Drosophila melanogaster: one gene and its partners. The protein of the gene in region 2 interacts with the protein of the main gene of each other region in a pairwise test. Each region holds a gene or a part of one and is shown on either strand. Other genes may lie near its edges. The genes, in order: CG43861, dbo, eve and CG12516.

What was found.
Region 1: the proteins of dbo (region 2) and CG43861 interact in a two-hybrid assay, tested with the Drosophila melanogaster proteins (one large-scale study listed by BioGRID).
Region 3: the proteins of dbo (region 2) and eve interact in a two-hybrid assay, tested with the Drosophila melanogaster proteins (one large-scale study listed by BioGRID).
Region 4: the proteins of dbo (region 2) and CG12516 interact in a two-hybrid assay, tested with the Drosophila melanogaster proteins (one large-scale study listed by BioGRID).

The regions. Positions count from the first base shown.
Region 1 is NT_033779.5:20,012,460-20,020,191, forward strand, and holds the start of CG43861 (uncharacterized protein), read right to left. Parts: upstream 4,824-7,732; 5' UTR 4,361-4,823; intron 1-4,360.
Region 2 is NT_037436.4:15,825,346-15,835,544, reverse strand, and holds dbo (diablo), read right to left. Parts: upstream 8,658-10,199; 5' UTR 8,449-8,657; intron 7,600-8,448; 5' UTR 7,543-7,599; coding exon 7,494-7,542; intron 7,227-7,493; coding exon 6,508-7,226; intron 6,360-6,507; coding exon 5,668-6,359; intron 5,530-5,667; coding exon 5,340-5,529; intron 5,275-5,339; coding exon 5,053-5,274; 3' UTR 4,967-5,052; coding exon of another isoform or gene 4,942-4,966; 3' UTR 3,541-4,941; downstream 1-3,540. Other genes in the region: CG18081 (uncharacterized protein), read left to right, coding at 668-811, 1,094-1,183; CG12713 (uncharacterized protein), read right to left, coding at 1,895-2,135, 2,201-2,689, 2,758-3,017; DCP2 (decapping protein 2), read left to right, coding at 9,966-10,074. UniProt on the Drosophila melanogaster protein: Probable substrate-specific adapter of an E3 ubiquitin-protein ligase complex which mediates the ubiquitination and subsequent proteasomal degradation of target proteins. May have a role in synapse differentiation and growth.
Region 3 is NT_033778.4:9,976,123-9,983,139, reverse strand, and holds eve (even skipped), read right to left. Parts: upstream 3,822-7,017; 5' UTR 3,726-3,821; coding exon 3,587-3,725; exon of another isoform or gene 3,556-3,586; intron 3,516-3,555; coding exon 2,524-3,515; 3' UTR 2,345-2,523; downstream 1-2,344. UniProt on the Drosophila melanogaster protein: May play a role in determining neuronal identity. May be directly involved in specifying identity of individual neurons.
Region 4 is NT_033777.3:28,301,051-28,307,177, reverse strand, and holds CG12516 (uncharacterized protein), read left to right. Parts: upstream 1-2,572; 5' UTR 2,573-2,610; coding exon 2,611-3,513; 3' UTR 3,514-3,547; downstream 3,548-6,127.

The DNA of each region.
Region 1 (7,732 bases), on a different chromosome or scaffold from region 2:
CGTTTACCTGATGCATTCATTCTCCCCGCCAGAGAGTCATAAGTTCTAACATAGAGCAAATCGTGACAGCTAGTCACTCAAGCGGACCCAGAAACGAGGGGACCCCCTTGAGCCACCAGAGGCATTTGTTATTAAAAAGGGTTAACTCCGCAGTGTTGGGTACATGCAAAATAAATCATTTTTCGGCATCCTCAACACTCGTGCAACATTTATGGTTATCTAAGCCAGTTGCAGTCCTGCTATAAAAAAGGAAGAAAACTTCCAAATTATGCACACTATCTGCGAAATCAACAACAGGAGAACCAGGAAGCCATCGAGATATAGGGGAAAAATCGAAATGGAAATTCCTTGGGATTAGCATAAGCGTGTTTGAAATGCTCTTTGTTAGCGCCGAAATGGAAAGAATGAAAATTTATTGTGAAAACAGCATTAAGTTAATGAAGCATAACATGGAATCTTGCAAGAACAAAACTTTTCGTGCTCTTTGTTGGGCATTTTGTTTGAGAGAAAAGGGATAGAATTCAAGCTGAAAAGAAGGTTTTTGGGGGCATTGGCATCCCTTTTATGTTTATGCTGTGTGGCCAAACTGTTGCTTTTAGGCATAACGAATATTTATGGCTTATCAATTTTGCAGGACACGTGCGAGAGGAAAAACAAAAGGGTCAGCGACTGCCAAACTCAAAGAAGCCCTTGGGACAACCAAAAATTCAATTAGCAGGCTGCCTAAGAAGATAGCCGCATTAATTGCTGGTAATAGGCAAAAAATTGCGCATACGCAGCATGGGCCCTGAAAGCGAGCATTTTGCATATCCACAGTTCAATGCTTTTGCCAGCAACATTTTAATTAAATTTCAACTCTGACTTTGTGTTTAGCATATTTTGGGTGCCACAACAACCCCGCCATTTCTCCCGCTACCTTCCGTTTGTCAACGGTTGTCCGGTTGCCAGGGAAAAACGCCATCCAAAGGACGAGAGGGGTGGGTGGGCGTGTAGTCAAAGGTATTACCTCCTGGCGTGTCAGAACAGCTTGTTTGTCCTGCTAATTAAAGTTGCGTAAAAGCAATGCCATTGTTGCTGCTCCCTGCAAATACCTTGTGCAAATCAAAGTGACGACCTCGGGCAGATCCAAAGGAGTGACTAGCATTGTTTAGCCACCTGTTCTTTTGGCCTGGCTAAATGGAGGGACTCTTGCCTGCGAACAGCACAACACTTTAATAATACTAATTGGTCGAGCTTCTTGGGAAAGTTTATTCTAATAGATTTGTAAGAGTTAATTACAAAGTGCTCTTGTGAGTGGAGAGCTGATTTAATAGAGGATTTCAATTGTAGCTCTTGAGTTGTGAGGTAGATTAACTGATTGCTTACCTTCTAATGGCTCGTTTGGTGCACTTAGAAAATAAATCTATATATTGCTGAAAATTATAAAATTAAATGATAACTTGAATTATTGCTTTACATGCTATTTTTGAATGCATATCTTCGATTCCTCGAATATTGTTTTCCAGTGTAACATTTCATTTAGAATGACTTCCTAGATTTCCTTACTGACAATCTGACGGATAATTCGTTGACATATTTGCACATTCATAATATTTGCATTGTGTTTGATATTTAAGGACAGATATTTTAATTAGAAAGGGATCAAATTTCGAAGTCGAAGGACGCTGCACTTGAGTGACATTGATACACAATTTTCCAAAATGCTAACCAGACATGTGCACACATTTAAAGCTGCTGTCTCCTCGATCTTGACAGTGCGATTTTCTTTATTGACTGGCACAATTTCCCCAGTTCATAATCAATTATGTCCCATGGCCTCAATAAATGGAAATATTCCCAGAAGAGCTTCGACTGCCAGGTAGCGTGTCAATTAAATGGTCATAAACAAGAGTGACGCCGTTCGACAGACAAAAATTTAAATAAAAATTGGAAAATGAAAAGTCAACACGCTCGACTCAACAGCGGAAACGAAAGCGAGCCCATGTCTCACTATCGATGAGCATCGATGTCTGCGTATACGTAATTTTTCAGTTGACATTCGTTTCCTGACTTTTTCTCAACTATTTATAGCCGAAGTCTGCTTTGTTGGGTAACTTCACTTGTGGTGGCTGCCGGTCTTCTTTATTGTCACCCAGCCATTTGCAGCCATTATTTAAATGGCCCAAATGAAAGAGGAGCAGCTGCGTCTGCGAAAGCCTCCGTTTTGGGCGACGGGCTGTGGATGATATCCCATTTCGAGGAACTCCCGAAAAGGTCGGGACCATATCGTTAGACTCAACTTTAAGTCCCAGCTGCCTAAGGATACTCAAAAATGGCATCCAATTGGCTTTAGATTGGGATTATGAATATAATAGCAAACGATTTGCCTGATGGCTTATAGATGGCAAAACTTTATTCCAAACAGTGATTGCAGTCTAAAGATATTATTAACTATTTTGTAGTTGTTTGTAGAGCAACAAAAAAATTCGGATGTATTTTAATGCAATATGGCTAGCTTTTTACGAATAAAAGAAATAATTTACATGAAATTGTAAAGCAGGTTTATAAATACTAGCACGCACCAATTAATAATAAATGTTTTTTATATGTTTCCTTTGTCTCATCCAATCGTGCACAGAAAATAAATCAGGAAACTTTGGTGACGAACGCCAGTATTCGCAAACTATCCAACATATATTGCACTAAAATGCATGTTTTTCTTGTTTTATCTTATATACATTTTGACTGTATGAGGCCAAACTCAGATTAGGATTTAAAGTACACCTACCTCCTCCCTGGAGGACTTAAGATCGGATGAGTAAATGGATTTGGATTACAAACGCTTCACATCTTGTCTCTGTGTATTCTGATATCCGCTTTCATCCGGACCGAGTGTGGCCCACTTCAAGCGAGTGGCATGCAAATAGGATCGGACCCAGAACGCCCTATTCTTGGCCTGCTCTTTTGGGTCTGGGCCCAGTTCCTTATCTGCCGCGCCCATCTGGGCCTGCCACTCGACGCCGACGTTGTCTAGAGTTGGATTCCCGGAGCGGGGTGCTCGGATGCAGTAGGAATAGGAGTAGGACTGGGCGTCTGGGTAGGAATGGTGCAGGATGAAGCCGGCTGCATGTCTGCAGCGTTTGGCTTAACAAGTGATAAACTTGTCGCTTGTCCGCTCCAAGTCCTTGGACATTTTATTATTCCCGCCTCTGCAGCGAGTGCCCTGTGGAAGCCATTACCCCATTCTCCATTCTCCATTCTCCAGTCACCAGCCCCCAGTCGCCAGCCTCCATTTCGATTCCCCAAGACCCCAACTTGCAACAAGACGCTGCAAATAGTTAAGTACAAATTGCATGGCTAATTTGAGCTGTTGCATAAGGCTTAAGAGCTCTCACGCACACAGACCCCACTTCACATCGTGTTGACAAGTTGACCGTAGAATTAGACGGAGAAGGTGTGAAGTGACAGAAGATTTGGCATGAGTAATGACCGTTGCGAGCTGTGCCCATGAAGTAGGCAGGTTTATTAGCAACTGTCGGAAAATAATTTCCACAAGCACTGAAAATTTGCGGGTTGCTTCCATATAATTCAGAACAGTACCGAGAGTCAAGGAACTCAAGTCCGCCCAGAGTTAACGGCTTAAACAAGACTACAATGTGTACTACCTGGAATTGGTAAATGGCTTCACATGGCCAAATGTACACTTACAAATATAACGTAATTCTACCCTTTTATCCATGCAAACTCAAATTAGCTCACAATATAAACTTTCTATCCCAAAAACTTTTTCGCGACAAAAATTGTCAGAGAGCAGTAGAAAATGAAACAAATAAAACGGAAAACTAAGTAGCTACATTTTGGTTCATACTAACGGAAATTCTGTTTAGAATGTAATCCCGAAAAATGTGTTCACAAAGTGAAGGGAAAAGTTGGTGTGGAGTTATATAGTTATATAGATATAGTTTTGGATTAGTATAAACTTGCAGATGGTCAGAAATGTATCTGATTAAAATCAAAACACAATTTAAAGTACCTGTTAAGCAAGGTAAAGCGAAAAAGTAGCTTGAATATTTATTTTGATTTCTTATATCTACTCCAATTTTAAAACCACATATGTATCTATTAGCGTATCTATTATTTCCAGCTCCTTGAGCGCGCTAATGCGATAAGTATACACGGCAACCACTGGGCCACAATTAACGCAGTTCGAAATAGTTTCACAAATAAAGACAACTAGCACTGATTCCCACACTTAAGTTTCCGTTGTACCCATAACCCAATTCGAGACTTAAGCCCCACTAATTATGATTTATTCCACATGTGGCCAACACCCCCGACCTCAGACCCAAAAAAAAAGCCCATTGAGGCAATTGAAACTCACCAAATGCAAGTGTTTGTTTAGACTTATTTACAGCAGCATTTGTATGCAGCTCGGGAGCGACTTTAACTTCATTTTAATGGTTATATTCACCGACATCGGCCGCTCGTTCGGACTCGGATTGTTGATGTTGTTTTACCTGTTACCGTTCTACAAACGATACGAGCACACAAACACAATCACTGCACTTTGGGGAAGATTTTCCAGAAATATTTTTACAAAACTCCGCGGTACTTTGGCCAAACAATTGGGCTTAAACCAACACAAGCAAATGGGGTTTGTTGCGGCAGGCGAATTTCGACAAAATAATGCTTTACACCTTTACACAACGGACTAATTTAGCATTTGCCTAATGGGGCGCAATGAGGCTTTGTTTTCGATTGGTTTTTTCTCTTTTTTTTTTCAGTGGGCCTGGCCAAAAAATGAATTCAAAAATCGAGCGGGTCGGCAGCCGAACGCGTTGAAACTCGTTTTTAGACTGAGTGGTGAGCTTTATGTTCGCAGTTAGTTACCCGCGCGAAAGCATCGCGAGTTCGATTCGAACATGTTGCCTTGCCTCCGTTCAGTTTTTCTCCTTCCTAACCAGGTGAAAATATAATTTTTAACACAGGCGTATGAGTGATATTCAAATTCGATGTAAAATACTGAACTGTGTAAAGAAATCCTTATTTAAATATCTCATTAATAAGAAATATTTAATGGATATATTTCATTTAAAATTATTTAGCATTGTTCTTAATTCTCACGTCTTTTAGTTTCCAAGACATCCTGTTCTAAGACTCTCTGTCGAAAGATTTACACGGAACTAAATTTCCCTCTGTTATTAGTTTGCTATTTACATACCTAACAAAAACTTTCACATTTTTTAAATCGACAAAATTCATCATCACATGATATTATTAATACTTGATTTGATTTATAAATAATCAAAACATGGTCAATTCTAACCTCTATCATATTTGCATATCAGCTGTTCTAGAAGAGCTCACAACCTAACTATTCACAATTCCGAATCTGGTCACGAAAATGACCGCAGAGGCAGAAGCAAGGGTTCGAGAAGTAGGATTGTTGTTTATCTAATAAAAATAAGTTTAGCCAGAACTCAAAAGTAAAACTCTAAATCTCAATTTTAAGGGAATTGTTATTTTATACTTTAAGAAGAATTTAAGCCCAAGATTGTTGGACTCAAACACCAGCTTGTTCGAATCGAACTTCAACATGCCAGCCCAGAATCGAACATGCTGGCAGGTTGCAATCAAACTATCTATCTATCTAACATATATCTATCGGTTGATCTATCTATCTATCTATCTTTATATCTATCTGTATATCTATCTATCTGTCTATCTATCTATCTATTTATATATCTATCTATCTATATATATCTATCTATTTACCTATCTATCTATCCATCTATCTATCTATCTATCTACCTATCTATCTACCTATCTATCTATCTATCTATCTATCTTACCATCTATCTATCTATCTATCTACCTATCTATCTAACCATCTATATATCTATCTATATATCTATCTATCTATATTATATATTCATCATCCACTCGGCGAATAAAACAAACGACACTGAGCTGCAGTCACAAATGAACTTCGTTCTTCTACCGGCAAGATGCCGTAGAATATGGCCAGAAAATAAAACGGAGCGCGTCCAGTTGGACAAGCACTCACCTTGTTAAAACCGAATCCAAAACCCAGCTGCCTTTACCTGCCAGCCGTGCCGTTTTAAAGTCGCATGATTAAGCAATAAATTCACACCAGGGCAAGAAAACGCAAGGCTTCTAGTTGCAGTCGCAATACCGAAAGAAAAACTGTGCAACTAACTATTTGGCAACATTTTAGGTAAACAAGTAGAAGTGCATTTTCAGCCACAGTTTACTCAAAACTTGAGGACACTTACCAAATTATATTTCATTTGTATAGCATCGAGAAATTTTATATATAAAATTTTTACATCGATTGTATGCAGTTTTCAGGTGTATCTACTACTCCAACTTTGGCGAAGATTTCCTCAGGCTAACGGTGTTTTGTTATTTATAGTAAATGTTACCTTTTGCTCCACTGCTTTCGGCCAGGTTTTCTATTTGTATTTACAATTGATTTGCATTTGTGTAACACTGTTTCCTCCATCGAGGAGCGGAAGCCAGCATCGAAAGAGCGACGGAGAAAGGTGTAAATATTGTGATTATGGTTGAGATTGAGATGTAGGTAAATAATATGGCCATCGGTGTGGGTTCAACAGGTGCCTCAGGACAGGCGATAGTAGTAGTAATAGTAGTAGTAGTAGTTGCAAGATGCAAAAAGAAACATAATCCACTTGAGCGGAGGAGGACTTTGATGCAATCGGTGTTAGAAAAGAACTGCAAGCCAGGAAGTGGGGATAATAACAGGTATATCGTCTTGTGAGGTGACGAAACCCAATCTTGTAGCCAATGAACCCAAGTTTCTATTGAGTTTTCCTGTCTAACCTCATATTAAGTCACAATGTTAGTAGAAAAGTAAATAGATTAGAAGTATCTTCCTTATGGATAAGACTATCTTCCATTCAGCTTAAAACAGGCTTTGCACACTCGGAACGCTCCATTTGAGAACGCTGCTTTAGCCATCTGTACTCGTCGCAATATTTACATTCTAAATGACTTCATTGGCAAGTCAAACAGATTAAATCTCTATTAGTTTTTAAGTGAGCCCCGCCAACGGCGCTCGGCTGGCGTCAATGGACCCCGTCAAGCCGAAGAAGTCGAGAAACCGATCCCGAACCCAGGTCCAAACCCGACCCTGACCCCAAGGCGAGTTTTGGGCACGCCAGTAATGACGACGACGCATTGTTTCCACCGCCGATCTTGGCCATGTCGCTGAGTCCACTTAATTTCCTTTCGGTCTTCTGGCCCTGTGCTGATGATGACTTAATCGGTGATCGGAGTTTTGGCTTCGGTGGGCGTTATAATGATTTATTATGCCGATTGACCACGCACTGTAACAACAATCTTACTAAGACCGACCGAAGTGAAAACCAGAATCGCCAACTCAAGTGGGATTCATTGGGATTGATATACTCTTGTGAAGTGAGCGTACATGAAAGTGGTTTGATAATAGCTCTTGAGCTATTTATGGATTTTATAGCTGTGAATGTGGTTGGTCTGTGTGGATGTGGATATATCATACAAACCATTTGTAGACCCAACCATTCATTTAAAATCGTTGCCAGCTAAGAATTTGTTTAGCAACAAGTTGTCTTCTTAAACGAACATAAACATCCAAGGATTCCCTGGGCAGAATCCAAAAGGTCTGCCATCGGGAACGAGCCGTGAAAACCAGTTGACTGAGATGCAGATTCCCGCTGTCCCACTGCTTTAC
Region 2 (10,199 bases):
ATTTTATTACGAAAAATAAAAATGTTGAAATGCTTAAAAATTATACAAATAATTAGAAATAGGAAAATTTATTACGAGTACCGTTAAGTGGTTTAAGTCAGGATAGCTGTTAGTCCAAGACGCGAACCCACATATATTTATGCCCAAACATTTTGGATATAGTTCAGCTCTGGTCCCATTTAATCCTGGCAGCGAAACAAAACCCGACAAATTGATACAAATTTACGGTTAATCGTTAATAATTTCGGGTAAAAAATCAAAACAGTTTGTAACAACGAATTTTACGTAACTGCAAAGGCTGCATCACACCTGCATTTAGTACAGCCAACCAAATTTAATCGGGTTAATTAGGTAAGCAGCGGTGGATTCGCAAAAAGGGCGCAGAACGTGGTCGCAATCCACATTTTCACTTGTGGGCGTGCTTTGTTGTTGTTCGAGTACAGTGTCGTGTCAGATTTTCCAAAACATAAATAATTGGTATCTTAACTATAGTATACTGACCGGAAACTGTGCTTTCCGTTTGGTAATCCCAAGAGTCACCTATTCAGCTGTGTGGGAGAAAGTGAAAGTGACTGCGCTTCCGCCACCTTTGTTGCGAATCCCGTGAAGCACATAGACGGTACTACTACATATGCTAACTCATCCATTTCCACTTAAACAGCAAGAAATGGCACGTGGACACCAGAAGATCCAGTCGCAGGCGAAGGCCTCCGAGAAGCAGGCCAAACTAAAGAAGCAACAAGGACACAGTGCCAACGACCAGAAGAAGGCGGCCCAGAAGGCACTTGTCTATGTGTGCGCCGTTTGCAAGGTAAGCCAGCTACAGTGAAACCTCCCTAAGTCAGCAACTGCAGTGGGTTAATCAAATGGTTTTGAGACAGCTCGAAGAATCACGCAAGAACTCGCTTACTTTAACGTCGAGGTTTTAAAACGCAAATACTAAAGAAAATTTATCGCAAAACATTCGACATCTCAGGAGCTTTAAACTAAAGAATTCGATTCAGATGAATGTTATAGTAATGCCTTATTTTATATTTATTACTCGTACTTTGTGGTTTATTTGAAACCTAATCGAATCTCGTCTCCATTTCAGTCGCAAATGCCCGATCCGAAGACTTACAAGCAGCATTTCGAGAACAAGCATCCCAAGAATGACATGCCCGATGAGCTGAAGGAGGTCTGATGACCGATGTGGCTGCGTGCATATATAAATATATCAAGCTGATCGAAATCGACGAATTTCCTACCAGTACGAAACTTTTGAAACAATAACTTTACAACAGCCCCGACAAAACAAACATCAACATTTAAGTCGATGAGAGGAGGGCGCGTAAAGTTAGAACATAGTTTCCAAAGCTAAGGGCCCAGCTGAATTTTTTATATACACACTGCTGACTTTTGGTTTATACTTTGAAAATAACACATATGGCTACCACAACAATACAAAGAAAATTTACACATAGTAAAATAAATACTTTTGTTTTGATTTTTATTTTCCCTGAAAGGCAACTAGCAATTTGAGTAACAATAATTACTTGTGCTTTGTCTTTGATTTGGTCTATTATGAACAACGATGCTGACAATGTCGTAGTTTTGTATACGATTTTTTTACTAAAAAACCTTTGAATACATCATGTAAATGAGAATTTATAAATACAATAAAAACAGTATAATTGTTAAAACTAAAGAGAAAAGTTATTGCTGCAGAAGCATTGTCTAATCTTATGGTTAGTGTATAAATGCAAAGCATTCCTGTCTTTGATGGTTTCAATGCTACTTAACATTTGGCAACATCCCACTTAAAATTTAGGCTTTCTATGTACATTGTTTTAACAAGCACATTTCGTTCTATAGTTAAAAAGTATACATTAACGATTTCCCTGCACTTTCAGTTTCATGAAAGTTTTTTCAGTTCTTTGGTTGGACATTCAGCTACAATAGGTTGACTCCCGGAACTGCTGTCCTCTTTCGTTGTCGGAGTCTCAGCGGAGTATTCTTCATGCGCGAGTTGCATAAAAACCAAATCTTCTTTTGCCGGAAAATCAGCGAGTACTGTAATGCCAATGTTGTTATCCGGCAGCGCAGGCGTTTCCTCGTGGTACCCAAACCAATAGATTATCATTCCAGGACCAAAACTGACAATATATATATATATATATATGTAATTAGAATAGTTATAGAATGAATTCTTTCATATTACCGATTGCAGTAGCTTTGCAGCTGCTGTTGGATGTTCGACTTGTGTCCCTTGGTGTCCCCAAAATTGGCCTTGCTCTCGATCCAGTTGATCACAGAGCCTTTGTAAAGAAATGGCAGGATCATCTTGATGTCCGGCGTCTTGTCATATCCCATGCGTCGCAAATCTTTCTCGTCGTAGAAATGGATACCCGCCTCCTTAGCCAGATTCTTAAGCTTAAGCTCGTACTCCTCGCCAACTATGCGGCGTCGCAGGTCCGTTATGGATCCCTCTTGATTGTCGCTGACTATGCACTGCTGCACATTGGCCGCCAGCTTGGGATCGTCGATAAGATGCGGATGCCTAAGAAGCTGTGAGATGTGCGATCGATGCCGATCCTTGTACTTCTCCTGCAGCAACATCCTGCAGAGAGCCACCGGGTTCAGTGCTTCGGCACAAGCCATTCGGATCAGTAGGGCATTGTCGTAGTATAGGTTTTTCTGCTCCTCGTAGCTGAATCCAAGCAATTTGGATTATTATTGGTCATGGTGTCAGGAAAGAACACGAGATTGTGGCCTTACGCTTTGAGAAGCCTTTTCCCGCGCTGATCCTGCTTCCAGTGACCACGCGACCGGTTAAAAAGCTCCGACTGCAGGATGCATGTCAATGCCATTGGCTCCACGTCCCTGAAGAAGCGATTCCTCAACTCGAACTCGCAGTCGATGGCCAAGCCGTGGAAGCCGTTGATAAACCGGCAAATCTTATTGTATTCGCCGCCGCTCAGAATCTTTCGCTTCTGTTGCCCATTTCCGCCGGCCAAATCCGGAATTTGGGACATCATTTCCGGCCAGAAATACAAAACTATTTCAGCGAACGTATGAAAGAGCGCCAGAATAAACAGCTGTTTAACGTACGCTAATCGAATACACATTTTAATTTATCGATAGCTGACGTGCCTGAAGTTTCTCCACGTCGCGAAGCGTTCACACTGGTCGGCAGTGTATATCGAAATGTTCCGAATGCATTTAGTTCAATTATTTTCATAAAATTGTTATCATAATATTGACTTCTTGAAAAATGTTTAAAATAACAAAATGTGTGTAGTGCCACCAAATCAGTGTGTGCGAATTAAGGCCTAAAACAAAAACAATCGGGTTCGAGCATCGGCTATCGGTAAAGGATCCAATATCGTAACTATTGTACCGATGCGTACCAGTACCGCGTAACGGTACATTGATTGCATTACAAATTTATAAATTATAGAATATAATACAAAATAGTACACTTGGATATTTATTTTTAATTATTTTTTGGCAGCAATTTCCGCCCTTGGCTGTAATGTATTGAATGAAACAAAGTGTCTTAATTTTGATATATTTTTATTTTTATATATTCTTATACATAGCACGGGTTTACGATCATTTCTTAGGTTAACACTTCTATTATTTGCGTTAAGCACTTTTACCACTCAACACAACTAGGAAATGTTATTTTTTAACTACGCATAATGGGTGGTATGCGAATTTTTGTATAATTGTTGACCATTTTGACTTAAAGCTATAATATAAATAAGCTTGGTTTTTTATAAATGCTATTCTTATTCATCATTTGGAAGCAAAGATCATTCCTTTTTGCTCGATTTAACAACAGTTTATAAATGTGCACCTAAAATAAACTAAATGAGATACGAAAGCGTGTAATAAATAATAATTTTGAATAAATAATTGTTTAATAGTGTTGGTGTAAAAGGCAACAAAGAAAATGTGTTGTTATTGAGAGTCTACTTGTGTTTTAACTCCCTTATCTAAGCGATTAATTCGAGTTGGTTCATTCAGCTCGATGGTCAAACTTGGTTTAACAATAAGTCATCTTAAAACTTGACCTGATTCCGGCCGAAAACTCTTACCGGTTTACACGATCTAGGATTAACAATATTAAAATTTATTACCTTAAAGTTGATCTTACGGCTGCGTAATTGTTAATTGTTACTATTGAATTATCTTGGGCTAGGTCTAACTTCTTCATTGTGTGTGTGTGTGATTACCTTAATGGTTTTTTTTTAAGCTTGACAGGCTGAATATTCATTATTTTTTTAAATTCTTTGCAATTATTCGGTTCACTTCATATAGTCGTGGTATTATTGAAGACGTTTGCAAAGATTTAAAGTGTACTTGACTAAACAACAGCGTTTAGTTGGTCGATCGAAATATTGCACCATTGTGATGTTTAATTTCGGACAAACTTTCTTGAATTCACTCCTTAAATCTAAATTATTTTAATACCAATTTGTTACTTGACTTTAGAGCTCTTCGTTTAAGGATTTACAACTAATCGAATTCGTTTCTAGGTTAATATTTGATTTTGTTTTGTTTTTTTCGAAAGAAGGCATGGTTATGAGCTAGCGATTTCCATGAAATACCACCGGCAACATTTAGATATTAAGTTATTTATAAAATATACTTGCTTAACATACAGTAGAATCATATATAATTACGCACAGGAGTGATGGGGATGTGTTATTGCAGGTGAACGTGGGAACAATGCTAACTCTAATACTATTCCGGAAAAGTCTAACAAACATGCGCTTTAGGCTCTACCAAATAAACAATTAACAATTAATACAAAGCGATTACACTGCTAGTAGACAATGGGGCGAAAAGATGTTTTGTTTAGTCGATTAGATTTGGCTTCGATTGCGGATATTGTTAGTAGAAGTGCGGCGGCGGCAACGTTTGCGAGGGCAACGTTGTCGGCTGCTGTTCCCATCAGACAACAGAATCTTTCCGTATCCTGAATTTGTTAGCATGTTTTCGGGGGGAAAAGAGAGACAAGACAACATTTCATCAGCAATGGAAGGGATGGGAGTTGAGTTAGTTTCAGGAATTCGGTTGCTTAAAACTATTTTCGCACCACATATAGTTCTCAGTCTGAGGGGCACGCATAACGCCCACGCCGCCGCCCAGTCGGCGGTAGTTCATGCAGCCGCACAAACGCCATTGGTTCGTCTCTGGGTCGTAGACCTCGATGGTTTTCAAATAGGCGGAACCATCAAAGCCGCCCACAGCATACAGCTGTCCATTGACGACGGCCAGGCCAACCTAAAATGGTGCGATTTCATTTAATACAATACTATTCGCCGAGAAAAAGTGTAACAAAAACTCACCCCACTGCGGCGGGAGGTCATGGCCACGATGGGGCTCCAGGTATTGGTCAGTGGATTGTAGCGCTCGGCGGACGAGAGCTCCATGCAATCGTCTCGCCCGCCGACGGCGTAAATGTAGTTATTGAACACAGCACAGCCCAGGTGCTTGCGTCGCGTTGACATCGGGCTGACTGCTACCCATTTGTTGTGTCTGTAATGATAAAATCGGGGCAATGTAAATCAAACAAATACTACGTTCAAGTGCAATGTACATTAAGGTCATTTGTTACAAGCGATAGAAAATGTACTTGTACGTCTAAAGCTTTTAAATGCTTTATTTATGATTTACCTGGGATCATATCGCTCTACGGTGTTCAACGGGCACTGTCCATCGGAGCCGCCAATTGCGTAGAGAAATCCTCCAAGCACGGCTACCGCCACTCCCAGTCGCCTTGTTGTCATCGGTGCCACTTTCGACCATTTGTTCTCTTTTGGATCGTAGCGCTCCACGTGGTTCAAACATTGAACGCCATCCTGGCCACCCACCGCGTACAAGAAGCCGTCGAGCACAGCCACGCCGACGCTGGTGCGGCAGGAAGTGGTGGGCGCAACGTCGCAGGACCATTGATTCGTTTGTGGATCATAACGCTCGATGCTATTCAGATAGCTCTGGCCATCGTGACCGCCCACGGCGTAAAGTAGATCATTTAACACGGCCACGCCAACTCCGCAGCGTCGTTTGCTCATGGGAGCGACCATTTTCCAGTCGTTGGTCTGAGGATCGAAACGCTCCACGGAGGCAATAGCATCGCCGGAACACCAACCGCCCACGGCGAACAGGACTTCGCCTCGTCGAGTTGGCTTTCGCGGTCTGGTGCGTGGACCCTGCATCAGCGGTCGCTCCTGCGGAAGCAACAGATAGTTCTTAGCCTCATCCACCAAATCCCGGCAGGCCTCGTCGCTGCGCACCAGGAGATCAGAGCCCACCGTGCCAACCAGGAACTTTGGCGACAGCAGAGGCAGACGGACGTGTTGGAGCACCTGAGAATATTCGAAAATATCAATTCATTATTTATTTATTAGTTGCAATACTTAAAAATTGAGCTGTTTATATTATTCCAAAGTAATTATCAAACGGAACAAGTAGGAATCGGTGAGTAGTAATCAGATATGGTTTACAGTAGCTCACCTGTGCCAGATGTTGTCGCCGCTCGGCGACATTGTACTTGAGCCAGGACATGACCGCGTTGAAGACCTGCTCCTCGGAGCGCACGTTTAGCTCGTCGCTGCAAATGATGTCCACCAGCTGGCCGACGGGGAGCAGCAGAAACTCCTCGCTCTCCATCACCTCCTGGAAGTTGTGCTGCGTGAATTTGTCGGCGATCCGTAGAAGTTCCCGGCAGGAGTGTGTGTCGGCAAAGGCGCGTATGCCCAGGCAGTTGGTGGGATCCAATTGCCGTTTGAGGAACTCGCAGCAGATGTCCTGAATCTCAACCAGTTGAAGCAGGCAGGCGGCGGGAAGGAGGGTCTGGACATTCGACTCCTCGACGATTATGTGGGCGGTGTAACAAAAGTCGATGAGCAGCTCCATGGCATTCTCATCGATGTCGCGTATGGTGACCTCAGTCTGGCGCGATTCCTCCAATTCGCCAGTGAACATGGCACAGAAGTAGGAGCTGCAGGCGGACAGGATTACCCGGTGGGCAAAGATCTTCCGTCCGCCCACGTTGAGCACCACATCGCAGAGCTCCCGATGGCGCCGTAGCATATTTAGTTCAGTGAGCGTGACCTTCGGATGTTTCTCGGACGTGTGAGAGAGGCGGGCGGGCGACGGAGGTCGGTCCACTGCCGTAGATCCAACGGAGGAGCCGCCACCAGCCGTGGAATTACCACCGGTACCGGTGACAGCTGTTGGCATACATAATGATTTTGAGTATAAAAATACCATATGTTTGGAATAGTACAAATAAACTTAATGGTACCGATTAATTGGAATTGTGAATGAGAGTTCAAATACTTTTTTATGAAGGAAAAACCTTTTCTAATAGTATTTTTTAGCTGAAAGATCATAGTCTTACGAACAAATATGAAGTATTTAAAGTCACATGAGGCACACAGGTTGCCCCTGGCTTGCTCTCTTCCCAATTCCAAACCAAGCTCCTATCAAATCCTTACCAGCATCCCGTGGTTGAGCGGTGGAGCCCGAGCCCGGCAGGTCGCCCATTCTGTTCGCTGCTAAGCGCAGCGGGCCGGAAGCAACCCAACCCCACACGGCGTCTATCTGTGGGCAGAAATGGTAGTATATAGTAGAATAGTGATTAATGGTCAAGTCAAAGTAAATTAAATCAATGCGTAGGTAGGGCGTAGAAGGGCGGCATTGAACTCGATTATAAGTAAGTAAGTAACTAATCAATTTACAAGGACATTGTGCTTCGTTTAATATCTTCTTGAAGCGACTGTTTACTTAATAAATTAAGTAATTGTACATTTTTGATGCAAATAATTCATATTCTGGGCACTGGATGTGGAAATTCTGATTTATTTTTCTTGTCCTCCGCCCTTTTGCACCACCCACACACAGACATGCTGTGTAACACGCACACATTCACAACTTCGGATCTGCGGATACTAAGGTGGACCTTTCGACTAAAGAAACATCTTAACACTAATACGAGTGTTATTTAAGGTATTCATTCAACACGTTAAGTTTAACAATCCACCATTCGTATAAATGATATAAAATAAATATTAATAATCCTTAAATATTTAGAAACTTTAAGCTAAAAGATCGTTACTTGAAACTTCTGTTTTGAATCTTAAAATAGCTAAGTTTTAAAATTAAAACATGTACTTTAATTGGTAAACAAATTGGCAGGTTGAGTTAATCGATGGTTAAGATAAACAGTTCTCTAGTTCAATAATATGCTTGTGGAATTATCTTCAACCTAATTTAATTAAAACTGAAATCTCTTTTATTCATGTGATATATGTTCAATCGCTTTTACAACATTCACTCCATGGAACACCTTAAAACTGAAAGGTAACCTGGTCCACCCACAAGCACACACCACACACACACACACGCGGATGATGTTGGTTTAGATTTCGATGTATATGTTGGTGTCCCAACCTTTGCGTCTCTGTTCTCTACGGATACAAAGCACGTCCAGGGCCAGCTGCAGGCGGAAAATTTCGAAAATGCAATCTTGATGGCTTAAAAGGACCACATCGAAGATTTTCCTTGCGCGAATTGCACTTTTCAGTACGGAAAAATCGTTTTTTGGTTGGCCTGGAAAAGTCGAAACACGAAACGATTGGTATGGCGATAGAGATGTGAGAAATGCATAACAATATCAGTGTATCGATATTTTTGAGAATACACTTATTTATATTGTGATACTTTGGTGGACATTTCGTTATATCGATATTGTTATTAAATCGTAAACGTAAGCTAATTTTAAGGAGATCTGTTTGAAATATCTCTTCACATTTTTTTTCGAAATTAAAATAAGAGATCACATATTTTTAAATAATTAAAAATAAAATAAACACTATTTGTATACAACTACAAGTAAGTGCAACGGAAGGGAATCTAACTGTGAATTATTGAAATCATTATAATAATCTCTTAAAATTTTCATTAGTAAACTGTCTTTTAATATTCCCGAAAAAATAAGCAAATAACGTAAGACAGGCTTTGTAAGAGTACATTTATCACAGAGCCAACTGTATTTGGCTTCCCTGGTCGCTAAAGAAACGGTATATTTTGGTATCTTAGTGAGCAGCATGCTGGTATTTTTTATTTCATACTATTTCTATACGCGACGCTGAAGAGGAAGGCGAGTTTTGAGCAGTTGAAAAGCCCGTTAAATAGTGCAAAATAGTAGCTAATTTTAAGTGCAACGTGTAAATAAAGGCAATTTAGATCGCGAAAAAGTTCGGTGAGCAAATAATAATTTGAGATTGGAAAGTGGAAAGTACGTGAACTGGGCGAGAAAAGAAAACGGAAAAACGTGAGACTGTGTGCGTGCGAAGAATTTTCCGTCTCCCTCGCACCAAAGTGGAGCGCACTCAATTATTTTGTGGATGGAGTGGAACACAAACAACAAAAACGACAACGACTATAGCAATAACAAAAACGACGACACAGCAACAAAAACAGCAATAGCAACAACAGAATTAAATGCAAATGCAAAACATGTTGAGGGAAAGAGAGCGAAAATCGAGAGAACAATAGCAAAAGGATGTAATGCAACCGATGGAATAACTAGAGTACAAGTACAAAAATTGCATTGGAAATTTAAATTCGTGCGACAAAAGCGGACGATTGCAGAAATTTTCGAAACTTGGCAGCCATATTTACTACAAAAGCAACGCCGTTGTAAAAATACGTGACAAAACGCTTACACACACATACTCACATTCGTACACCCACACACAGTTGCGCTCTCTCACACACATACACACAGTTGCGCTCTCTCACACATAAACACACAAGCGTATCGAAAGACTGGTGCAGACAGAGAGAGACGCGAATGTGAATTAACAAACAAACAAAAATATTTTGCGAAAAAGACAAACACAAAAAGTAAAGCCAATAAAGTGTATTACATAAACAAACGGAGCTCCGATATCTAAATAAATATTATGGAAATCGCACCACTGATCAATAACGCCGTCGCTGTCGTCACAGCCTCTGCCTCTGCCGCCGTCTCTGCCTCTGCTAGCGTCGGCAGTAGCAGCAAGGATGATAACGGTAGGCGGGTCTCTAGATGATAAGCGGTACACTTCCAGTGGGTTCATAATAAACTATAAAAATAATAAAATATATGTAAATACAAAGCATAAAGTGTAGTACGTGCTCGAAAGAGTCACACTTTC
Region 3 (7,017 bases), on a different chromosome or scaffold from region 2:
TAGATGCTGTGTGTGCGAGAAACGTGTGAAATTATTTCAGTGCTGGCATCATCATTTTACAAAGATGTTTATTCATTCGCTGGCTGATTGCAAAACCCCTCATCTATTGGCAGGGTCATAAAGCATTTTCGACTTCGTTTAGCGCTCTCAGCTCTCGGACTGCAATTACCACGTGAATGGAGTATCGCAGTTTGGAGTATTCAGCTCTGGGAATCTCACTGGCTCTCTATGGCTAGGCATGGGATTGGATAACAACCAGATTCCCGGCTCCAGCCTCAGATCTCGCCGTGTCCACCGGCGGGAGATCCACCTCGCCTCGCCCTCTGATGATCACTTTATATTCATTGACAGTTAGTGTGAAATTCGTAGCTCATAAATCGATGGAGAGACCGAATTGCGGTCGTCTTGGCCACAAAAGCTGCCTTTTGTCGGCTCCGCAGCTGGTAAGAGGAGAGTTTGCGCCATAAACGCCCGATTCCGAGGTGCTAATTCACTATTAAAAGAAATCAGAAACAGAAACCGAAACCGAAACAGAAACCCATCCTCGACAATCCCTAGTTCCTCGCTCACCACTCATCACGCCCCAATAAAACTTAATTTTGTTTGCACATCATATGGTAAATGCGTAGAGCCTTGGCTCTTGAATAATGCATTGTTTCGTGGGAGAACTTCGCATGAAGTGGCACCCATTCATGGCTGTGTATCTAAGTATCTGAGTATCTGGGTATCTGGGCATCTGCGCGGTCATGTATCCACTGGATCGCAGCATTGATTGCCCCCATAAACGCTGGAAATATCGAGATTCTCGTTTCTTTGGCGGAGAATATGTCGAATTAGAGGCGAATGCCTAATTGATAATAATATCACACTTACTCCCTCGAAATCAGTTAACTCTTTTATGCCGCCGGACGAGCAGCTGTAGATGTGATATTCGGATTCATCAGTTCCCATCTGCCCTTTGGACAAACTAATCCTCTCGCCTGCCATTCGGGCAGCTAGTCGCATAATTTTGCAATAAACAACTTGATGATTTCTGGATTTCAACAAGCCTAATCCCTAATCCCCATATGATTAATTATCAACCTGCGCCACGTCGCGTCAACCACCCAGCAATCGGATTCCCCCGCCGGCAATCCTGCAGAGATTTCCTGTTTGGCTATTTTTTAATTTACTGTATCCGAATCTGCTGGGGAATTCCCCAGGGCGGAACCGTGGCGCGTATCTTTATTATCAAATCATAAAATGCTGCCACTTGTGTGTTCGCATCCCCCAAGTGAAAACACGAGACGAAACTCCGCAAAACACCAGCAAAGGAAAGGGGTGTGTGCGTGGCACTCCAACTGCAAGGATAACACTTCAAGGACCATTTTTTATGCCCATTTGGCTCGGCTGGCAAGTGTCAAAACATGTTTTGATGCCAGGCGCTCAATTAGATATTAGACACAGCCGGGATCAGGGGTGGCTGGCTGGGTGTATCAGCATCCGTGGCTGGTATCTACATCCTTGTGCCTCGCTCGCATCGTTTACCCATCGTTTATCCTGCCTTTGGGTTGACTCTCGTTTTTTAGCTGTGGGATTATGAGCAATTGACACCCCTTTACACCACGGCTGAGCAATTGAAACACATGTTTTGCACGGTAATTAAATTGGGATTTGATTCGAGAAGGACTCTACCACCAGCCCTCTCTCTCTCTCTCTCTGTCTCTTTCTCGCACTGGCTCGTCCTTCCGATGATTTCTCAATTATGACAATTGCCTGGCGATGGAGAAGAGAAAGCAAACATAAGGCCAGGACCAACAAACAAAAAAGTCACTCAACGGGTGAGGTGACAATTAATTAGCCGAGCCCAATGCAATCCGAGGACACCGAAATTGATTCCATTGGCAATGCAACCTGACGCGTGGCAGGGAGTGGGCCCAACTCCTCGCCAAGGTCGCCGCCCAGCGGGGTGGCTCTGCATTTGCAATGGGCCCTCCCGCTTGGATCCGTTCGGATCGCATTAATAAGCCATTGGCTTGTGCCAATCCCCCGTGGATGTTGTTCCCTTCCCCGCCGGTGCCGCATCGGGAACCCTTACTCCTGATTGTGGGTGGCCACTCCGAAGGACACTCGGCACGCTCTGCGGCTCTGCCGCTCTGCCGCTCTTCCGTTCGATTTGCCACAGTTTCCCTGGGAAGGTCAGCAGTCAGCAGCGCAGCTGTCCCGCCAGGTTTCTCCACAGCTAATCCAGAGAGCCAGGTCCATAAAAGCGATTCAGCTCAGGTATATGAATATATGTTGATATATATGTAGATAATACCAGGTACCAGGTAGTTCAAATAAACAGTGTGTGTCGTATAATTTTCAATGTTATTTTCGCATTTATTTCTTAATTTGATTTTGCGCCTTAATTATGACTACAATTAGCTACTCTACAATCTGTACAATCTTCGGGAATAAATAGATGAGGCTGACTAAGACTAGTTTGTACAATCTTTTGGGGGAGCATGGGGGGGGGGGAGAGAGTGTGTGTGGATCGCGGGCTTACGCCTCAGTCTTGTAGGGCTTGAAGAGCTTCGGCTTGGGCTCCGCAATCACAGTTGTCGTCGGCGGCGGCGACATGTCGGAGGCAGGCCGCTTGGCACTGGGCATCAGGAGGCCTGGAGCGGGCAGCGGGCTGGTGGTGGTCAGTGGAGCGGGAGCAGGAACTGATGGAGCGGATTGAGCCACTGGACTGCGGTCGAACACCTTGGCGTGATCGGATCCCACTGGCGAGAGCGACAGCGTGGAGGAGTGCGGCGATGACGACGACTGCAGATCCAGCGGCGGCGTCTGGGTCTTGGGCACACCCACACCCAGTCCGGTATAGCAGGTGGCGGAGGGCAGAGCGCCCAAAAGGCCGGCGGCACCGGCGGAGTACGACGATCCCGTTGCGCTGGATCCCATCATGTGCGGATGATGCATATGAGGACCAGCGGGATGTGGCGGCGCCGGGCGGGCGGGGATGTGGTAGGGCGTGTAGCGGTACTGTCCGTAGGGCGATGGATGGCCGGCATGTCCCGAGTGTCCGGGCATCTGCATTGTGGGCATCTGGGGCATGCCCATCGGGGGCATTCCGGTGGCCATCATCGGATTGGTGGCCACGGCAGCGGCGGCGGCAGCAGCGGCGGCAGCAGCGGGGGCGTAGGGCGGATAGGGCATGCCCACGCTGTTGGCGGCGGCCTGGAGGATGGAGGCGGCGAAGGCGGGATCGGAGTAGACGGCTGCGTAGGGCCAGGCGACGGCGATCCTCTGACGCTTGTCCTTCATGCGGCGGTTCTGGAACCACACCTTGATCGTGCTCTCCGGGAGGTTCAGCTGGGCGGCCAGTTCGCAGCGACGGGGACGGGACACGTAGTTCTCCTTGTAGAACTCCTTCTCCAAGCGACCCAGCTGGTCACGGGTGAAGGCGGTGCGATAGCGGCGTACCGACGGGTCGGCGGGAATCTCCGAGCCGCGGCTGCCGTTCAAGGAGTTATCCGGACTGGATAGGCATTCTGTTTTGGACAGAGGAAAGATTGGGTGTAAGTAACTCGTCACGTTTGCTCGGCTTTATCTTTAAACTTACCATTTGGCGAGGGAGGCGGTGTCTGGGGCTTGCCGTACTGGGTGGCCAAGAGGTCCACAACCAGGGGCTTCTGGTCCACGGGACTGGCGTCGTGATGGGCATGGTGGCTCTCCATGTTGTAGGTTCGGTATCCGTGCATGTTTGGTATGCGTCTTGTGATTCAAAGTTGGCTTATTCAGAGGATATTAACGAAGGCAGTTAGTTGTTGACTGTGCGGCGGTCACAGCTCGAGTGTGCTGCTCTCAGCCACCCCGCGCCCTTTTATACCGCTGCGCTCTGCAGGCAAATGGCCGCCGTCGCTGGGAGCGGCCAATCGCAGCGACCCAGGCAGGTGCGAGCGGGACAGCCTGAGCGGAACGGTGCTAATCGTGCGGTGCTGAGAGTGGATGCGCTGCTGTGCTCTCGGTGCTGAGCGGCGATAACGAGGCGGGACAAAGCGGAGGAGCAGGACCCGGAGCAGCGGGATGGAGCCGCGTTCTCTGCTCGGCAGGACCATGAGGAGGTCCTGGCCATGCTGGCCATGGCACTCCCGAGCTGGAGAGAGAGAGAGTTCCGATTTGGTATTCATAGCGGATGAGCGAATCTTTTGTCTCGCCCGCCCGCAGGCGGTTGCTCCGCAGGAGCGAGCGGGACGGGCGGGCCCCCTTAATAATGGGATTTTATCGGCTTCATCAAGAATGATATGGCATTATGCCGCTCAGTCGGGTCGGGTGGTGTGTGTTTGCCGGCAGAGAGTGTGTGTATCCCACTATATATTTGTATGTATGTATTATCGATCGCCTGCCAGCGAATTATTTGCGCTTTTATGAAGTCTTAATATTATGCCGCACGTTTAACAGCCCCACACTGCCATGGCTGCCATGACTTTCGGGTTTTGGGGGCTTCATCCACCCCGTTGGAGCGGCGGCAGGGGTGTCCAGCCATAACCATTTGGGAACTGCTGTAGCGAGATAATGGCCGCCCCTGCCCGCAGAACATGGAAAATGGAAAATGGGAACCCAGTTGCCGGGACTTAATTTGAAAAGTTTTCGGTTTCGTTGGGCAAAACATTTATTATGATGATATAATCATTCCCAGCGTACCAACTGTACCAGGACCGGGATAGTGCCTCCTCTTTTGGGCCAGCAAACCGGCCACTTGCCACTTGCGCAAGTTAGCTTGGAGGTTTGGCCAAAAAAATCGTGGGGTCCACCCACAACTACCTGCTGCCCGGCTCAAAACGGGTTAAGCTCGCGGATCAGGGCTAAGTCGGCGCAAAAAAATAACCCAGTTCGCTAGTCCGTTAATTGCGTTGCCTGGACCTGCGCGCCCCTAATCCCTTCGACATCATTATTATGTGTTTTTATGACTTTCTAATGAAAAGGACAAGGGATTGGGATTGGGATTGGGATCGGGCTAGGGATCGGGATTGGATTCCAAGTCAAGCCCTTGGCTAATCCCAGCAAACAAACAAACAAACGCCCGCAGAAGATGGCGATGGCTAGATCGGCGGAATGCCCTGACTTCGCAACCCGGTCTCGTTGTGCGATTATAGTCCAGGGTCCCTCGATTCCGTCTAAATGAAAGTATGGCACAGCGTGTTACCAAACTGCGACGATTGTTCAAGATGCTGCAATAAAGTCTAACTCGAAAGTGAAACGAGGACGAAAGCGAAACGCTGCAACTGCAATTGACTAATAATCTCGCTGATGGCAAACGGATTAACACGGCACACACAGCGAGAAACCAGGCCAGCTTTTCGATCTGTCCCAGTTACGGTTCGGGTTCCATTGTTATGCAGTACCGGGTAACCAGGAAGGATACCTCGCTCCTGCCAGTTACTTCAAATTATTGGGTTATATTGCGCCCGCAATTTGCATTGGCATTAACTCGCCCGGCATAGCCGCATCGCAACAACTCTACCTACTGGCCGACCTGGAAAAGGCCCACATGCAAGCCTTCTTGCCCCGGGAAAGGTTCAATTCTCGAGGTTCGGGGTTCAGGGCTAACAGCTCACAGCTCATAGCTCATAGCTCAAACCCTACCCACAAGCAACAACCTTGCCTATTGTCCACCTCCGCCGGCCTTTGTCTTTGACTCCGTCCGGAGAATGGACGCGAAACGACCGCTTGGGTTAAGTCGTCAAGCGAGGCTCTGCGGCAGCGACAGTAAATACCCTTTATGGCGATCGGGTGGGTTGGATTGGATTGGGATGGGTTGGATTGGCTTGGTTAGGCGAAAGTGTCCGCCGGCGGAAGTACCTTCCTCGTTTCAATACTCAATCCTCTATCTTCCATCTCGATCCGCAAACACTTTCGCATTTTCCCGGGCCGGCAATACCCGGAATATGGGAAGGCGAATCCCTGCCGATTGTTGCCGCTTTATTGCACATTCTGCACTCACAAAGCGCCGATCTCGCTGATTATGCCCGTCATCATGGCAAGTAAATGGCCAACACACTGGCCGGATTGTCCGCGCAATAGAAATGCCGGCAAAGATTCGCAAAACGCTGAGGAAAGGGCGGGAAAAAGGCAAAGGCAGTGCAAAAATTGGCAATAAAACGGCGAAAACGAGGGAATTATGCTTGATGATTGAGTAATTTCTGCCATAAAACAATTACAACAAAAAGGCCAAAATTTATGATGATTGCGCGGATTGGATGAGTTGGAATGGGTTGAGTAAGTGATTCAGCAAGGAGTCCTCGAAGTCCCATTCTTGGGAAGAGTGCCAGTTCAGTTTTTTACACAAAATTGGTCCAATAAATTTATAGATACTTGCAGGTACATTTTATTTGCTAAATTTATTAGTTGACATATGTATACATTTATACTTAAAATTTGTTTGGCAAACCTATTTCAGAAACCCCATGACAGATTCCCAAAAACATCTTATGTATATATTATTTCATTTTGAATAATTGCATAAAAATTCTGTTGACTTGCTTAATTAGTAGACCATTTGTTTCATTTTGGGGCTAATAAAGAGATGTATTTCTTAAAATTAAGCATAAATTGAGACTACACTCGCTTCAATACAAAAAGACTTTGATATTTCTAGTCAATTCGAACGATCTTGTGTTATTTTAAAAAGGCTATAACAAGGTATTTTTTAACTCCGCCTCACTTTACAACGATTTTGCCTTTCCATAGAAACCATCCCATTTGATGAGGAGATATTAGAGCACATCATCCCTCGAGTAAATGTGGTGGTTTCCATCCGCCACTTAAGACAGAACTGTGCACCCCGCACTCAAATGGCCATAAAATGTGAGGGGATGTATGAATGGCAACATAAGTAATTTAATTTTTAAACAATCGACGAATTAGCTGCATTTAGCAGTGGGCAATATAAAAAAAGCAGTGGAGGAATCTTGGGGCTTGCCTCGCGTTTTTAATGCTTACACAAATCCATTTCATTTGGTCTTCAGGAGCAGCGATTTTTATGGCACAACC
Region 4 (6,127 bases), on a different chromosome or scaffold from region 2:
CGCATGCAATTTGCTGCTCTTTTGTGCAATAAAAATAACACACAACCAACGAACATTTCATGCGCATTAATGTGCGACATTTGAGAAATGGGCTCTGGACTCTCAAACTCTTCCTTTCATCTGAGTGGAGCATACACGTATTATTTTGTTTCATTACAGGGTATTTGTTAAGTACTTGGATGTATTCCCTTTGATGGAAGATAAGTAACAGTCGAAGGGTAGCAAATAGATCATACGATTTATTTATACTATCATTGTACTATAGAGTATTAAAAATATTTTAATGTATAGTTTATATGTATTATCAATACCATCGTAAGGAATCTGGCTAAAATGCTAGGTATTTTTTATTCGTATCGCAGTCTACCTTTAATATTTTTGCATACCGGAAAAGTGCAATAAAAATGCAAAAGCGAATGCGAATTGATTGAACAGAATCGGACAGGACATATACTTACATTCAGTCACGCACCATGGTTAATGGAGAGGGGTATGTTCGGGGAGGGGAAGGCCCAAGCAAAAGGGGGAAAACGAGAAAATTATTCATTAACACATGCGTAAAATGCGAAAGGAGCATTGCCATAAATAAATAATTGATAAATTGCAGATGAATTTTCATATTTAATGATGTTTAAGTGAGTGGGGCCTGCAAATGCCAGTTTTGTTCGCATCTGGGTGTGCAATAATATTATGTTAAAATATACGATTACAATTCGGAGTTCGGTTTCCTTTACTTCACGTTTTTACGACTCCAGTTGCCTGCGATGTCGCACAAGAGTGCGGCGTATGAAAATTGATTGTTGCTTTATTTATGGCCTCGCACTCGCAGAGTAGACATAAAAAATTAAGACGAACATAAAATGCAATCATGCAGCTCGGTCTGGATAAAAATCTAGCTGCCTTCGCTACATCCCAAATACGTTTAGTCCATTCGTCTGATTTGGTTTTACGTGCGTCGGGAGACTTTGCACGTTCTCCTCAGGGTTGTCATAAAGCGAAACTAAGAAAAAAAAATTAAAAATATGTAACATTAAACTAGCTCAAGTTCAATAATCATACTCTTAAAACTATGCTTAATTTTGAATAAAACATGAAAGTATTATATTCATTTTCAATGCGAAACTTGACAACCCTGAGTCCGGCCTGAAAGGGCGACATTGAGGTCGCTACATGCCTCTTTGGGTCGTGTAATAAAAGGCATAAAACTTTGCCTCTAACGAGCATCGTTTTTACGATCCTACTGTTTGACATCGAACCGAAAAAAATGTGTACTGATATGCAGGAATTGGAAGGAGCTCCCTTTGGAATCCTTGCAGCCTGACAAATGTTAAGCAAAATGAACCCTTAATGATTTGTAATGTGTGCTGGTTTTAAAGTGCCTAAAGAGCAACACATAAAAGGGGTTAACTTGATGGGAGCTTCACTAAATTTAAACCAGATAATTGATCATTGCAACCTAATTAATGCCATCAAACATGATTACATAAATGTCGACAATAATTTATGGACATCAATGAATTCAGCGAACGGAAATGCAAAGAGAGCAAGTTGGTGGAATATTTAATGCTGTTAATAAAGAAATATGGCTATAACCTATGCTAACTTTTATGTTCGCTTAAACTATTTAAACACAATTTTTTCCATTCTACATATTTGTATTGCTCAGCAAAGTGTTCATGCCGCACTGCCAAAGTGTAGACGGTTTATTAGGTTTTGAATTTAGTCAGACACAAAGCAGCTCCATTGTTCCACTCGACTGAGATAATCTTCATCCAACTGCAGGCACTTCAGCCTCGAATGCCCAGCAAAATATGTAATTAAACTTAATGAGTGTAAAATGCTCATGTCCTGGCTCAGACTCGTTCTCGTGCTCAGTTTCAGGAGCTGGCTGCGATTTTGGCAACAGCATCGAATCAAATGCTGTCAAGCAAATCAAGTCATTCATTTGTCAATTAGTTGACAATGGGTCAACTTGAGCTTAACTGCTTCTGCAGGCCAAAACCAAAAAGCAGTTCCGACAAATGCTAGAGCGTAATTGCATTTAAGATTTGCTGAAGTCCAGTCAAGAATTAACTTGGCCTTAGGTCTGCTCCGAGTGGAGTCACATTTTGTAATTTGGTATCGCTGATGAAATGCATTTCATTAATATTTATTTGCCCCAGGCATGTCAAGCAAGACAGCTTGGCTTTGGTTTTCTTCGCTGCCACAGGCCAGTTATTGTGGAAAAATAGCAAAATCATATTCCGCAAAATCCCGAGTCTCAGTCCAAATTTTGTGAAATATGCTGTTCATTTTCGGCTCTGATAGATTAATTTTAATGGAGCCCCGTTGAAATGATTATTTATGTTTATTGTTCTAGGACGTACGCGCTTTAACAAATTTTAATCACTTTTCGTTTTTAAATTTATTTCCCCCCATAAACTCTTTTAATTTTCAAGTAGTATTCAACATAATTTGTGGCGGTCTTAAACCATAATATATTATTTTAATGGTGCGTCAGAATCAGGAGGTTCTTCAGTGTGCTTTTGTTTTTATTTCACAACCGAATTCAAATTTATACTTTCAACCTTCGAAATTATCAATATAGCTATTTAAATTATAGCTGGCATAATGATCAGCCCGGTAATAACTCGACAAATGGTGCAAATCCTGCCAAGTGTTATGGTCGGTAGGATAACACTTCCCGATATTATTGAGGATGCAATCAAGCCCCCAACGGAAGATATTAATTTCGAAGAAAAATCGAATGAGAATGAGGTGGAAGATAATACAGAGAAATCGGAAGCGGTTTCTGAATCCGAAAAAGAGGTAATTGAGGTATCTGAGGAGCCGAAGGAAGAAGAGGTAAAGTACGCTTGGAATGCACCCTGCATGATGGTCATCTTCGAGGATGGCGATGTCAATTGTGCCCTGCATCACCTGGTCGAATCTCTACAGGATCCCTTTGCCTTAGATGCGGTTGCCGTGATCTTGGTACAAGAAGCTTTAGCCGAAGAAATCGAAAACCGAGTAAAAATTCTGATGAAACCCTTGGATGCCAGGGTGGCCAATCATCCGTGCTACAAGCGCACTCTGATGAAGATTGACGAACTTAGGCCGAAAACTATAATAGGTCCTTCAGATCGTGTCTTACCCGATGCCACGCCCATAATGGTGCGGGACATACCACACAAATTTCTGGGCGATGGACCCACTGGCATTATAACCATGCATATTTTTCGCACCCCTTTCGAAGCCACTCAGATATATAGAAAGGAATATCCCCTACCAATCGCATCGGTTAGTATATGGAATGAGCGGGTTTCGAGTGTTTACGATGTAATTGGCATGATGAATCTACTCGATACCTTTAAGATCAACTGTTTCACGGTCGATATGGAGCCCATTAAGCGGGCATTCGAGCTAAGGAAGTATAGTGCTTGTATACATCGTGGTTATCACTATGAAACCCTGCCCATAAATGGCGAGAGAAAGATTATCATATATCCAGTTGGAACTATATTTGGCAATTGAAGTGTAAGCTGGGTAAATACAATACCATTATTCGAATCTTATCGCCACTTATTTAATTTTACTCAAAAATGAATGGTATCCTTACCAATTAGGGAATCATTCAATCCTTACCTTTAGGTGTTGTGTCAGTATCTAATGCATGCAATCTAATTCAATGGGCTGGGGATTTCAACAGCTATTTACACACAGAAAGCCTGTTGAGAACATTCAACTCGCACTTTTCGTTCGCTAATCTAAATTAATGCCTCTCACTGCGAATCGGAATAGGCTGTGCAGCGATGTTTTATCATTCAATTAAAAAAAGGGAGGAAAGCAGCTAAAAACGCGTGCATGGCAAATGCGCGAAATAAACCAGAGGATTTTCGCACATTCCCCTCTACGTAAAAATAGTGGGCGGAAGAGTGGAAGCAATTTGCACCACCCAACGGACGGAATAATGAAGTGTTTAGTTGATTATCTAAACGCACGGCGCCGTATCCGGATCCGGGAGCACTGGGCCTAGTAGTGCTGGAATTGCTTGGGGTTTTCGGGTAGCGGTTGAGTCAATAATGCGCCAAATAAACAGCTAACAAGTTGGTAATAAAAGAACTCTAAAATTGCCCGAGGTCCGACCGATTTGGTAGAATGCCAGGCCCCACCCATCGAGCATTTATTCACCCACACGCAACTGCAGGTAGTGGCAGGTAACACCGGCCTGAAAAGTTCCAAACAAAAGCACAGCCGTCGGCCATGGCGAATATAGCCATATATAGAGGCGTTGAGTGCCGCGGGGGCGTGGCACGCATTGTCTGCAGGTAAGCCTTTTTGCGGTGGTGCCCACCGCTGAGCAACAACGCCACGCATTTGCATTGATAACCGAAAATGTTGGGACTTGAAACGAGTTTAGTTTGGCCTGCTTTCGTGTACAACTACTATATTTCACCGGTAAATCAAACAGACAATGGGCTTGAAGCCCCGTAGATTGTTGGAGAACAGCTGCGGTCAAAATGATGTAAACTGGAGCACATGAAAGTGTGGGCATTCTTAAACATTGTGTATACGCCATGTTATCGAAAAACACAAAAACTTATTTTTCGTTGCATACTTTTAGGCATATAATGCATTATGTACACGTCAGGTAAAAAGAAGTCGTACACCCCAACAGCCTAGCAAGGAAGCTAGGAACTGCAGCTGTGGTCAATGCTGACCCTCGGACTAGAGTCAAAAGAAGACTCAAGCGACACCACCCTCATGACCTCCCTAACCTGGTTTTGACCTAGAAAGTCTTAGTTTTAAAATTCATTAGAATAATCAAATAAATAATAATTACTATGTTATATCAACTATTATAATTCTCCCTATCTTTTTTAGGATTAAAAATCTGTTAGTCTTAAGTAACCAAGACACATTGTAAAATAAAATAATTTAAGCAGATCAAATTAAGTTGCCGCATGGGTAACAGTGCGTTGATCAAATAATAAAAACATCATCGTAAAAAAAAAAAAAAAAAAAAAAAAAAAAAAGGTAAAAAGAAGTCATTTTGTTGTTATTGTTTCCAGTGCATACTTTTAGATCGATTTGGAAATTATGTGTACGCCCTGTTAACCTAAGCAATTAACACTAAATTCATAGTTTTACGCAGTTTACAACATGTCGAATACTTATCTTACAATTAAATTTTTTCTAATTTCTCTAGATTAATTTTAAAAAATTCTGAAAAATTAGTTAGTTAGTTAGTAGTTTCAGCAGCTGCTACTAGTTACATCACCGCAATTGTTTTCCAGGTAAAAGGAGGCGTATGCGTAAAGCCTTTGGTTCTCGGCTCGCCACGATGTTTACTGGATGTCTTAATTAAATTTGATTAGCTGTGTGCGCAAATTAGTTAGTTTTGCATAGGAATTGATGAGCGTGATGAGTTTGCCGACTAATTGGCTAATTGATTGATTGTTGGAGTGGTTGCCTCTCCTCAAAACATACCACCCAGAATGTTTGCCTAATTGCGCTTCAAATGCATTCGCTCGCTCCGAAGTTGGTATTCTTTGTGTGCATTCACTAATGAAAATCGAATGAGGGCTCAGGAGCCAACGCTGCCGGCCAGCAGTCAATCAAAAATGTATTTGCCCAGTCCATGGATTGCCGCTGCTGCTGTTGCTGCTGTAGTTGCTGTTGGAGCAGTTCTGCTATTTGTTTTTAAATATTTTCAGTAACGCAGATTCCTTAGCTCGGGCAGCGCCTGCATAATACATATCGGAATAACCTTGGTCCGAAATTCGCCAAAAGAATAACTGCGCATTGTTTGCAAAGAAACAACTTTGCTTTCTGCCTTGGCTGACTGGCTGACTGGCATGGTTAGTAGTTGTTGCCGTCGTTGTTGGCTGTCAGAGTTTCCCGGGGGATGGAGATGCAGTTTTCCAGGCGGTGGGCGAAAGTGCTAAAGTTTCCATAGCGCGCATGAAATTTCCACTTTAGTTGTGTTGTGTAGTAAATTTTTGTTTTCGCTTTTTGTTTCTTATTTTTTCCCCTCCCTCAATTCTCGAGATTTCCCCCTGCGCGCTCTCTTGTGCTTATTTCAAGTAGTTGAAATTATTTTATAGTATAAAACTTTAGTTTTTTAACTTCGCCCGGTGCTCTCTCC